3 linked regions of the Rattus norvegicus genome follow. The protein of the gene in region 1 interacts with the protein of each later gene in a biochemical or structural test. Links are inferred from orthologs where the notes say so. Each region holds a gene or a part of one and is shown in the gene's direction. Other genes may lie near its edges.

The links.
Region 2: the proteins of Erbin (region 1) and Abca1 interact in a test that uses a peptide from one of them, tested with the Homo sapiens proteins (2 studies listed by BioGRID and IntAct). The link is inferred for Rattus norvegicus from reciprocal best matches to the Homo sapiens genes ERBIN and ABCA1.
Region 3: the proteins of Erbin (region 1) and Atp2b4 interact in a test that uses a peptide from one of them, tested with the Homo sapiens proteins (2 studies listed by BioGRID and IntAct). The link is inferred for Rattus norvegicus from reciprocal best matches to the Homo sapiens genes ERBIN and ATP2B4.

What each region holds. Positions count from the first base shown.
Region 1 is NC_086020.1:36,759,319-36,763,551, reverse strand, and holds the start of Erbin (Erbb2 interacting protein), read left to right. Parts: upstream 1-1,398; 5' UTR 1,399-2,167; exon of another isoform or gene 2,168-2,717; intron 2,718-4,233. UniProt on the Homo sapiens protein: Acts as an adapter for the receptor ERBB2, in epithelia. By binding the unphosphorylated 'Tyr-1248' of receptor ERBB2, it may contribute to stabilize this unphosphorylated state.
Region 2 is NC_086023.1:72,519,909-72,523,553, reverse strand, and holds part of Abca1 (phospholipid-transporting ATPase ABCA1), read left to right. Parts: intron 1-1,116; coding exon 1,117-1,314; intron 1,315-1,992; coding exon 1,993-2,198; intron 2,199-2,744; coding exon 2,745-2,921; intron 2,922-3,364; coding exon 3,365-3,587; intron 3,588-3,645. UniProt on the Homo sapiens protein: Catalyzes the translocation of specific phospholipids from the cytoplasmic to the extracellular/lumenal leaflet of membrane coupled to the hydrolysis of ATP.
Region 3 is NC_086031.1:47,738,312-47,741,956, reverse strand, and holds part of Atp2b4 (plasma membrane calcium-transporting ATPase 4), read left to right. Parts: intron 1-911; coding exon 912-1,073; intron 1,074-3,645. UniProt on the Homo sapiens protein: Calcium/calmodulin-regulated and magnesium-dependent enzyme that catalyzes the hydrolysis of ATP coupled with the transport of calcium out of the cell. By regulating sperm cell calcium homeostasis, may play a role in sperm motility.

The sequences.
Region 1 (4,233 bases):
AGTGTAAGTTAGATTCCCAAATTGAAATTACTAGATCTGCCATTCCCAGGGCTGTTGTCAAATGTTTTCAGAGGCCTGATACCACTGTCCTCTGTGCTAAGAATCTTATGTTCGTGTTAATACTAGCAGTTTTGGGGGTAGCTAAAATGCTTCCACTTCGATTCAAAATGACTTGAATATCTTTGGAGTTATTCCAAGTATTCGTCTCTGGCGTAGAACTCACTTTAGTAAATAATTCTTTGGTGGACTTCGTGAACTCATTCCCTTGGATGCAAGCCAAAACTCATCTGTAAGGCATATAGCTTTTTATTCAAAGTTGGTGATGAATAATTATCTCTGGGCTACAGACGGAAGTACTGAACCAGTGGCTTGAAGGACCCAGAGGCTAATTACCATCCCTGTGCATAGTTAATACAGAAGAGTGGGGGTGGACGATGGTTTGCCCAGAATCTATTCCATTCCCTCGGGTAAAACAAGGATGTTCTGTCTGCTAACATACTTAAAGCAGTAACTGTAAAAACGGCAATGTTATGGTTGAAGCTTTCTAAGCCATATGTGTTGACAGAATGCTTAAGTCTCTCTCTGCAATAAACGCAAACCCTGCCAGGCAGAACTACCAGGGCCAGCGCGACTGAACGACTGCACGCCCGAAAGCGTAGGGGCTGGAAGGCTGCGCAGCGCTCGGAGTGCATCCAATGTTTCCTCTAACAAAGGCACCGTCTTGAGGCAATTTCGCGGGCCCCGCTCCCCTTCCCAGCACCAGCTTTGTCTCCTCGGAGGGGCCCCAGGCGCGTCGCCGCTTCCAGCAAGCTCGGAGGCCGGCCCGGCGTGGAAAGAAGCTGCACGGAGCCGCGGCCGTGGTTTCCTGCAACCTGAGCGTGCCATTAGAGGATGTCGGAGTGCTGCGGCTGAAAGAGATACCTGCTGCCTGGAAATCGGGGCTGCACTTGAACAACCTCTTTGCACCAATTACGATCGTACAAAGAAACTCGATCGGCCGGGGCGGCGGAGGCCTCGCGGGGTCGTACGGGGGAGCTCGGCGGGCCCGGCCTCGGGGGGCGGGCCTCCCGTCGCGCGCCTCCCAGCCAGCCCGCGGCCCCCGGCCCGCGCCCCCCGCCGCCGACGTCGGGCGCGTAGACCCCGTGCGCGCTGACTGGCTCGCGCCGGCCTTCGCCCGGCTGTGGGCGGTTGGGGCGCCCCCGCGGGAGGCCGCCCCGCCCCCGCCGCCGCCGCCGCCCCCGCCGCCGCCGCCGCCGCCGCCGCGCGCAGCCTCGGCCCCCTAGCCGCCGGGGCGGTGGCGCTGTTGCCGCCGCGGCCTGTGAGGCAGAAACTCCCTCCACCCCGGTCCGGCCCGGGTCCGCCTCCTCCTTTCTCTCCTCCGCCTCGCCTCCCCTCTCCGTCTCCCGCTCGAGTGAAGGTGGCGCGGCGGCGCGCGACGCAGCCTCGGCCCCTGGCGCGGGCCCGCGAGCTCCTGAGGAGACCGCGCCACCGCGGCTGCGGGGAAGGAGAACCGGGGAGAGCGCAGGGACTGCGGCGGGGAGACTGGAGGGTTAGAGCGGGAGTGGCAGAGACCGGGCCGGCCGGTCGGACTGCCCGACCGACGGTCGCCTTCCAGCCTGCGCGGCCGGTCGGCTCCGGCTCGGGGCGGCGGGGGCCGGACGGGCGCAGGGTGCGGCCGGCGCACTCGAGACAATACCCGCGCGGCGCGGCTGTGGGGGCGGAGGCCTAGTGCGGCCCAGGCCAGCGGAGCTCCGCGTCCTCGCCCCCGTGGGCCGCGCAAGGTCCCGCGGCTCGGGGCGGGCGCCGTCCCCTCCCCCTCGGCGGCGCGCCGCCCCGGGGTTCCGGGTTCCCGGGCACCGAGCTGGATCCTGCTTTTCACCCAGGCAGGAAGTGAGTTTCGCACGGCAATTCCGGGCGGTGTCACGAGTGAAAAGTTTTTTCCTTCGGCGGAGAACCTAGACGAGGCTGGGAAACTCCTGACAGAAGTCGCAAGCAGGAAGCCAGCCCGCACCCCAGCCCCCACCGAAGCAGCCGCGCTGCTGCGGGCGGCAGCTCCACATCCGCCTAGTCCTCGCGGGAGCCTCGGCGGGGCCCGGAGCCACTGAGGAAGGGCAGGAAACCATGTCAAGCCGAGCCTCGGGACGGCTGCCCTGAGACACCCGGAGAGGTAATTTTTTTTTTACGGGAAGCGTCCAGCCAAGTTCGTGGGCCGGAAGCGACGGTACTTTAGTCTACCTCGCTCTGCCCGAGTTGTCTGACTTCTTTCTCCCTGGTCGGAATGCCTTGTCGTTTTAGCAACTGAATAGTAAAACTGATTTACCCCCTTGCCCCGTCTACCGTCTGGATTCCTTTCTTTTTAAGATGGGGTTGTAAGAATGTGGTGGGACGAAAAGTTTTTCAGCCGTCGGAAGAAAGAGTTCCTTTGTTGAGCATAAGGGCCAGAAGTTTTAGTGTTCCGGGACGTATACAATGTATATCAAGTTGCTGAGTCTGGCAACTTTTGTTTCGGAAGAAAGTTAAGTCTCGCTGCGGGGAGAGACTGATTCGCTCTCACTGAGATGGCTGCCACATTTGTTTATGTTGGTGTGGATTGTTTTGGTTTTCGCGTTAATCCTACATGGAGGTCGTTTTAAGGCACGTCTTTTTCTTTGGACTTAAGAAACTGCCTGCCTGCCATTCTCGATTGCTTTTTCTGGACGGCCAAGGAACTACTTGTAGTAAGTCATGCCTTCTTTTCAGTCCGTAGCTTACAGTGCTTGTTTGGTTACCTGATTGAGGACGAGCAGCTGCTAAATTTTTCTTGAAACTGGCGTTCTAGGAAGCAGAATGTCGTAAAGAGTATGGATAGAGACGGAGAAGGATATGGCTACCAAACCAAAACAAAACCCAAACACCTGCAAGAAGTTGATTAGTCAGGACTTGTATGCCGTTCCGATTAGGAACAACATTGGAAGGGAAGAGAAATAAAATCCTTAAGATTTTCAGGAGAGTCACATTGTGCGAAAAAGTGGCGCTGTTTTGCAGATGTATGGTCCTCATATTTTTTCGTGTTGGCCCATCTGGTTTTGTTTGGTTCTGCCTAATAAGTGATAGGTACAGACTGTGCGGGCAGGAATTCGTGAAGCATGGCAGACATTCCACCAGTCAGACTTAGGAACGCTTCTGAACCAATGAAACCTTCTTTATGGGTAAAACTAGTTTTGGTTGCAGTCTACCCTACTGTCTTTTCCCTTAGTAGTGCTTCAATTGTGTGCCTTTGTAAGTGTAGTTTGTTTGCTTCCCCTCTTCCCCCCAAGTGCTTTTGTGGTAAGGGAAGTGACAGATAATACTGTGTTTTAAATAAATATTAACTATAGGTAGATGTAGCTTAAGCTTAAATTGATGTTTAATCAGATATTACCAAAATAATTACCAGAAACTTGAGGGGAAAGAGTTGACTTCCTTTAGTTGAAAGAGGAAAGATAGGTTTTATAGATCAGGATCAAGTGAGTTCACAACTTGTTCTTGGCTATTTGGCTTTTATTAAGTACATTTCAAAAAGAGAATTGTTTCCAGTATTTATGTTGTTGTGTTATTAGGGCCTGGTCTCTGGAGTTTTTGTTTTCATTTTTATTTTATTGGTGAGATTTGTGAACCATCAAGTTATTCCTGTTAAAAGTCAGACTGCTTTATGAAGGAGTTTAAAGTGCATAACTGGTGAACTTTATGATTTGGGGACATATAATTAGGCAGCGAAAGAGGTTATTCTTGAGCACATGAAAGAGGGGAACAAAATAAATGACATTGAACTTCGCTTTCCTTTTATGGCTTCTACTTGGCTTCAGCCTCAGAGCCTTAATAGAGCAAGTCTTTTAGAGAATGAACACTTTGCAAAGATGTTTTTGTGTCATTCTGTTTTGTATAAAGTATCATGTCACTTGAAAATGCCTACTTAACACACCCACCCTTTAAAGAAGTAGGTTATTTTTGAAAGAGTAGTATGTTTAGCTTTTTGACATGTTGAAAATGTGAGGTTCCACCTTTGTGAACCTTTGATTCCCCCTTTTTCCTCAACAAGGCATTTATTTTGCAGTTAAAGTTGGGTAAATTTAGCATCAAATTAGCTTAGTGAGTTTTAGGTTTTATACTATTTTCAAGTCAAATATTTTTTGGAGTCTTGTTTAAAATGCAGCAACGGTCTGAAAAGAGATTTCTTATTTAAAAGACAGTGATTTGAAGTCTTTTTGAATGGCC
Region 2 (3,645 bases), on another chromosome or scaffold:
AATAAAATTGTACTGGTCCCTCATTGGTGACAGGGGTCATTGTTTTATCCCCTCATGGAAAGCGCTTTGAAATGGGAGTTTCGAAACCCACTTAGAATGAATGTGTCCTTTGTTGTACCTTTGCTTCACACACATCCCCGGGGATGCGTCCTACATCATGGGAGAGAAAACGTTATTACTGAAATAATTGTTATTGTAAGTAATTGGAAATAGACTAGATGCTATGCAGTGCAGGAGTAGTTAATGAAATTGTGGTAGACGCACTCTGTGAAATCATTATGTTACCATTAAAACAGCAAAGAGGAAGCCACCTAGGGGGAAAGCTTGCAAGGTTGGTGAAGAGAAGACGGATGAAGGAGGTGTGGGTTTCAGGCTTTTGGAGATCCTGCTCAGTAGAGCAAGGGCCTCCCCCTCCCCCTGGAAACTGGGAAGTGAGCATGGTGGCTGTGTTTCCATTCTGCCCAGTCAGCAGTGGGCTCGCTTTCTCAGCAGTGCATTTGTGAAGACTTTTACCCCAGTCCCCCTGGACTGGTTGGTTGAGGGACAGAATGGCTTACCCTTTTCACATTGATGGGTGATGGGAAACAGGTCTTCTTTTCTTCGTATCATCCCCGTGTCCTGGAGTTAGGAAGACCATCTTATATTTGGATTAACCAGCAGTGTTACCTCCCTGAACTAAGCATTAAAAGTGGGCTCGGTCTAGAGACAGGGGCTTTATTTGGCACCATCAAAGAGAGGCGGGTGCCGTGCAGTGGGTGTGCTGGAATCAACGCCCACTTTCCTGCTCCTGAGCTACCTTAACGTCCCGGAAGTTCCATTTTCCTGTTCGTGAGAGGGGCAGTACCAAAGCCACACTCTGATGGAGTTGTGTAAGTTCTGATGCCTATAGATCCCTCAGCACCCTACTATTGCTCTTGTTAGAGTTGAAACAGTTAACGTGAGCTGTCTGGTGCAGTGGGAAGCCTGTGAACTTCAAAGTCAGCGGTCTGACTTTGTGTCTCAGCTCATCCCTTAGCCTTGGTCAACATCAATCATGTCAGACTCCAATCTTGGTCAAATGTGCTCGTTACCACGAACCTGATGATCAGTGTTCACATTTCCTTCCTGGAATGGCAGACGATGTTGGACAGCAGAGGCAATGACCAGTTTTGGGAACGAAAGTTGGATGGATTAGATTGGACTGCCCAAGACATCATGGCATTTCTGGCCAAGAACCCAGAGGATGTTCAGTCCCCAAATGGCTCTGTGTATACATGGAGAGAAGCTTTCAATGAGACCAACCAGGCAATCCAGACGATATCTCGATTCATGGAGGTGAGGGTCTGCTGTGCACACCTTTTAGCAAAGTCTGGGGCCTTTTTTCCTTTGAGCTGTTGCAATAGTTATAGGCAGAAGGAGAGCTTAGAACGAATGTGTAGTGTCACGTACAGCTATATTCTGCAGGCCTGGCGAGCAAGATAAACACTAGATGAATGGCTTAACGAGCGAATAAGCTTACGTCTAGCTTTGGTTCAGATCGACCCCAGTGTTTCTATCCTTATCTTCTAGCTTTCCCTCTGTTTTGATATTCTAGATCCTAATGATAAACTGCTCTATTATAAAGGCATTATTTATGAAACTTATCTAATCTAATTTGGGACAGATAAAACTTTAAATCTTTAATCCTAAAAATGATGGAAAGAGAAAAGGCTGAGTAGAATCTTTTCTTATCTGATTTCTAGTTGCTTAGTCGCGGTGACTTGACTTTGCTAAGACATGTTGCTAAGAGAATAAAAATTGTTAAAGAGAGTCATTCCCTCACACAAAGCAGTATAAGTAACTTTCAGTGTTCCACTCAAATCTCAGTTCTAAGCTTGGCTGAAACCTGGAAGACTACGTTAGAGACGGTACAGATTAAGAATACAGGCGGCTAGTTCCTGCCTCTCAAAGGAGGCTGAGTACTGCTTGTCTTTCTGGTTGCCAGTTCTAATGAGGTTTCCTTCTGTCTGTCAGTGTGTCAACCTGAACAAGCTGGAGCCCATCCCAACAGAAGTCAGGCTCATCAACAAGTCCATGGAGCTGCTGGATGAGAGGAAGTTCTGGGCTGGTATCGTGTTCACAGGAATCACTCCTGATAGTGTGGAGCTGCCCCACCATGTAAAGTACAAGATCCGGATGGACATTGACAATGTTGAGAGAACCAATAAGATCAAGGATGGGTAAGGTGAAACGCAGTCTTGCAAAGCTCAAGAACGTAATTTGGATGACTTTTATGACTGGTGGTTCTTTATTGAGGAATGTCAACAACAAATCAGCCACGGCATGACTTTGGTAAAACTCCATTGCTGAGGACTGTTATACAAAGGCTATAAAATATTAGTCTTTCTGTTTCCATGTTCCTGTTCAAAAGACTAAGCTAAAGGACTTAAAAGTCAGGAGAAAGAAAGGAAAGCCATTAGGTCTCCTTGCTAGCCATACATATTTTTATAAGAAGAGGCAGACAGCTTGTAAGGGAATTCCAGTATGTCCAGCAGATGCAGTGTTAGTCACTAGTAAAGTGAAAAGAAAAAATATACCCATAAGGAGTATGGATATATATAAGGAGTGTCCATTGTGACTATTTCTAACCAAGAATCTATGTACTTGTCAACTGTGATAAGAATGGGAGATAGAAAATAGGAAGAGTGGCCAAGGAAGTGTGGGGGAATTGGATTTTTCAGGGTGTGCTTTGTAGGACTGTTTCGTCACCTGAGGTTTGGTTTCAGGTACTGGGACCCTGGTCCCCGGGCTGACCCTTTTGAAGATATGCGCTATGTCTGGGGTGGCTTCGCCTACTTGCAGGATGTGGTGGAGCAGGCGATCATCAGAGTGCTGACGGGGACTGAGAAGAAAACGGGCGTCTATGTGCAACAGATGCCCTACCCCTGTTATGTTGATGACATGTGAGTGTACCAACAAGCCGACATCTTCATTAGATGACCAGGTCCTTGTAGAGAGTGTGTGTTATAGGCATGTCCTACACGGTATGAGAGGGAAAACAAGTCAATAGGAGATCCTAGAGACACTGACCTTTAGAGAAAGACCAGGTTGGGTTCTGCTCCTACCCTTTGTGTTAGTACTTAGTAAAGTAATTTACCTTTATCTTAACATTACCCTAACCATTTCCTAGTTATTAAAGTGAGTCCCTAAAGAAAATTTGCATGGCTATACTTTGAAGCCCAGGTTCGAATCTCTGTCTACCTCTAACGAAACATCTGTCCCTTTGAGAGTTCAATGGGCCTTTCTTGAGCAACCCTGATGTGGTTTTTCCTTCAGTGTGCAAGGTCTTGGATCAGTGCCGGGTTTACTGTTTCCTCTTTCTCATACCTTTTTTCCGTGCCTCCAGTTTTCTGCGGGTCATGAGCCGCTCAATGCCCCTCTTCATGACTCTGGCCTGGATCTACTCTGTGGCTGTGATCATCAAGAGCATTGTGTATGAGAAGGAGGCTCGGTTGAAGGAGACCATGCGCATCATGGGCCTGGACAATGGCATCCTCTGGTTTAGCTGGTTCATTAGTAGTCTCATCCCTCTGCTCGTGAGCGCTGGCCTGTTGGTGATCATCTTGAAGGTAAGGTGGGCTCACTCACTCTCCTTGACAAGGAATTCTTGACAAGCCTAATAATGTA
Region 3 (3,645 bases), on another chromosome or scaffold:
TGGTGGCTGTGTCCGCATCCCATCTCCGTCTTGTTTGTGCATCAGACAGAAGAGACCAGCTCCTAAGCAAACAGTGACATTGGGGGTACGGGATGAGGAGCAGCCGCAGGAAGTAGTCCCGAGACAGCTCCCAAAGTTGTTTTTTTTTTTCCCGGTACACACATCGTAGCACTCTTTAGTACTCTTCAGAAACAGTCACCCTATGGGAGCACCAGGGCTCCAGGAGAAAGAACTTGAATTTCAGGTCTCTTTATTCTTCTTCTGAAGGGGAAATCCTGGGTTTGACATGCCGGTGCGTCTCTGCTTTGCCTTACTCTGTCTTTAGAGGAGCTTCTTTTCTTGCCCCCGACAGAATACTCAATTCAGGGCTTGCTCTGCACCACCTTCATTCACTTGTCCTTCTTATATAAGAAACTGAAAAATAACTTTGAACTTAGGAGGGCTGGGGTGGGTGTCTGTTTCTTCCCCGACTGGGGGAAGAGGGGCTTTTTAACCGAATAGGCTAGGACCTTCTCTCCTAGAAACATTGGCTAGAGCTTCCTTTTGGTCGCTTTCTACAGTAAACATTCAGTGCTTTAAGCTCTGGATTCCAGAGAGGACACTCACTAAGGGGATGGATGGCCTCAGTGGTGTGACTAATCCCCTTGTTGCTATAAACCTGTGCCTGTGGCTCTGAGGGGCGCCAGGAAGTTGTTGTAAAGAGGAAATCCAGACCTGAAAAGCATCTTCCGCCTCATCTCCAGTTGTTAGGCATGTCCCTAGTGGAGTGCTGTGTCTGGCAAGGGCAAGGAGCACTCAGGAGCCTTAGGATCACTACAGGAAGAGGACAGAAGGACATCTTGCCTTCCGCCTGCCTGCTGTTCACTGCTCTGTCCTTGACTGCTCACTTCCTCTGTTCCTGTCTACCCTAGCAAAAACCCAGGATGGAGTGGCCTTGGAAATCCAGCCACTCAACAGCCAGGAGGGGCTCGATAGTGAGGAAAAGGAGAAGAAAGCAAGCAAGGGACCCAAGAAGGAGAAGTCGGTCCTGCAGGGCAAGCTCACACGCCTGGCTGTGCAGATCGGGAAGGCAGGTGAGTAGCTAAGCCCGCCTCCCATTGCAGATGTGAAGTGCTGTCCCGTGTGTTGGCTGCTGCAGCCTCCATCCCACCACATCAAGCAGGACTGGCACTTGGGTGGCTCCTGAGCTCTAGGGAGCTGCATCTATGGACACCTGGTGGGCTTTGAAGGAAAGAGATTTCCTCCAGTGTAGAAAGGTTAATAGCCCTGAGGTCTCTTTCATCCAAATACTGGGGAGTGGGGGTGTCATGTAACAGGAAGGCAGCCTTAAGAACTTTCACCTGTCCTGGAATCCCCCCACCCCCAGAGTTTGCTTTTAGGCAGTTCCCTGCTTGGTTGTAGAATCTTGTGACCCAGCATGGAGCAATAAATACACAGTAAAGATTGCAGTAAAGAAGAGTGGTTAATGTATTCTGCTCTACTCACAAGAAGGGTCTTATACCTAATGACAAGTGGCTTCCCCATCGCCCACCCCTACACCTCCCTACCACCCTCTGGTCAAGGGGAGCAGCGGGGAGAGGTAGCAGAGGGTGGTTCCTTTGTGCCCCTTGAGGTATGGTCTGTCAATGAGTATTCTGTGACCTCACACTTCTGCTTACCACTCAAACATGCTTCTCTGGGTACAGTTCTCCAGATGTCCTTGCTGAAATGTATACTACCTTCAGAAAGTCTATGGCAGGGCCTAAGAGTCTCCAAGGATCTGAGATGGACACAACAGTAGCCACCGTCTACAGCCTGCTCCTGAGTAACCACATATGTCCAGTAGCTGTCTTACTGGACTGCACCAAGTCAGAGCATTTTGAGTATCACAGAAAGTTCTGGAAGGAGTGTATTGACCTAGCCAACTCATTTCAGTCCAGTACTTAGCTTATCCTGACTACCTTGAAATCCTATGTATAGACCCTCTGTGGACGAGCTGTGGATACAAAGGCCAGTTGTTGAGACACGTACCCAGGTCAGGAACAAATAGATCCTCCGAGCCCAAGTCTTCTCCTCACCCCTGCCTCAGTATTCCTTGGAGATAAGAATATCAAGCAAGGCTAGGGTGGCATAAGCAAGATGCCTTGCAACTAAGAGAGAGAGAGAGAGAGAGAGAGAGAGAGAGAGAGAGAGAGAGAGAGAGAGATTCCCTATGCTTCCTTACACTAGTCCTAGCCTTAATCAAATCAAACCCAAACTAATCTTCTTTCATTGATTTTACCACCACCATCCATGCCCTTGCTGTGAGGCCCCGGAAGCATCAGGGCCACACTGTGGCTTCAATATGACTGTTCTCCAAATGTTGTACATATCAATCCTTAACCCTCAAACATGTAAGGTGACAAGCTATCCCACATGGTTGAAACATTCCGTTTTCTCACTGAAACTCCCAGAAATTGTTGTCTTTAGCAAACCAGGACGGCTGCCCTGCCAGTGAAGCTTCACTGACCCCTAGCTTTCTCTATAGTAGCTGTCTCCTAGGGCTGTAGAGGCTTGGCTGTGAAGGCCTGGCTGGCCTGTGGCAGGCCCTGTGTAAGCCCTTGATTCATTGTCCTCTTTATGCCGTGCTGTGATAGGAGGAGTCATGTAGGTGACATATGCTAGCACTGTGGGAACACCCCTGTAACCAGGATGTGGAACTTTCACCTGGAGGAGAGAAAGTCAAAGTTGTAAGCTCCAAAGTGGGCAGACGCAGTCGCTGCTCAGTAAACTATGGAATGCAGTCATAAAATGTAGGCTACCTTGTTAACAGAACAGATGTACTAATAAAGCAGTGGCAGTCGGTCCACATGTAGCCGACACACAAACCCCTTTAGACATTGCAGTTTATAAGAAGAAAGGGCCTCAGGATCATGACCCAGTTAAAAAAAGGAGCATCAGGTCCAATCTCTGAACAAATTTCAAAACAAAGGAAAAAAAAATTGGAGGATTACGGCAGGAAGTTTCACATTGAGTGATTTAATGTTCAATGTAGTGTGCGTGATAAAGAGTGCTCAAGTCTCTGCAGCCTGCTTCTTAGTTCTCTGCAAGCAGTGGGCTGGGCCCAGTTCTCTGAATGGAGGTGCAACCCAATCTCTTCAGGCTTTGGGATCTGGACATTTAAAAGTAAGAATCCTCTTTAAGAGGAAGCCCACGGCCTAGCTTACTCTACTCCCCTTTTATTGTTTGGTCAGGTTTTAGGGGTCTGGGAGGTAGGGGGATAATTTGTTTGTTTTTGACACAAGGGCTCCCTTCTAGATCAAGCTGGCCTGAACGTATAGTCTTCCTGCCTCTGCCTCTCAAGTGCTGAAATTACAGGTATACGCAACGGTAACCCAGCAAACCCTCTTATTTATGAATGAAGAAGTTAAATTAGCAGCCCAACCCACAGAGGTTTACAACTAACACAAGGGTATGAGTCAGATTGGTGACGTGTTAAGAACAGAATCTTTATCTTTGGAACTCTGCGTTTAGAGATTTTGTTTTGTAGAAAAAAAAAACAAACAAAAAACAAAAACAATGGGGCTGGAGAGATGGCTCAGCAGTTAAGAGCACCCGACTACTCTTCCAGAGGTCCTGAGTTCAATTCCCAGCAACCACATGGTGGCTCACAACCATCTGTAAAGA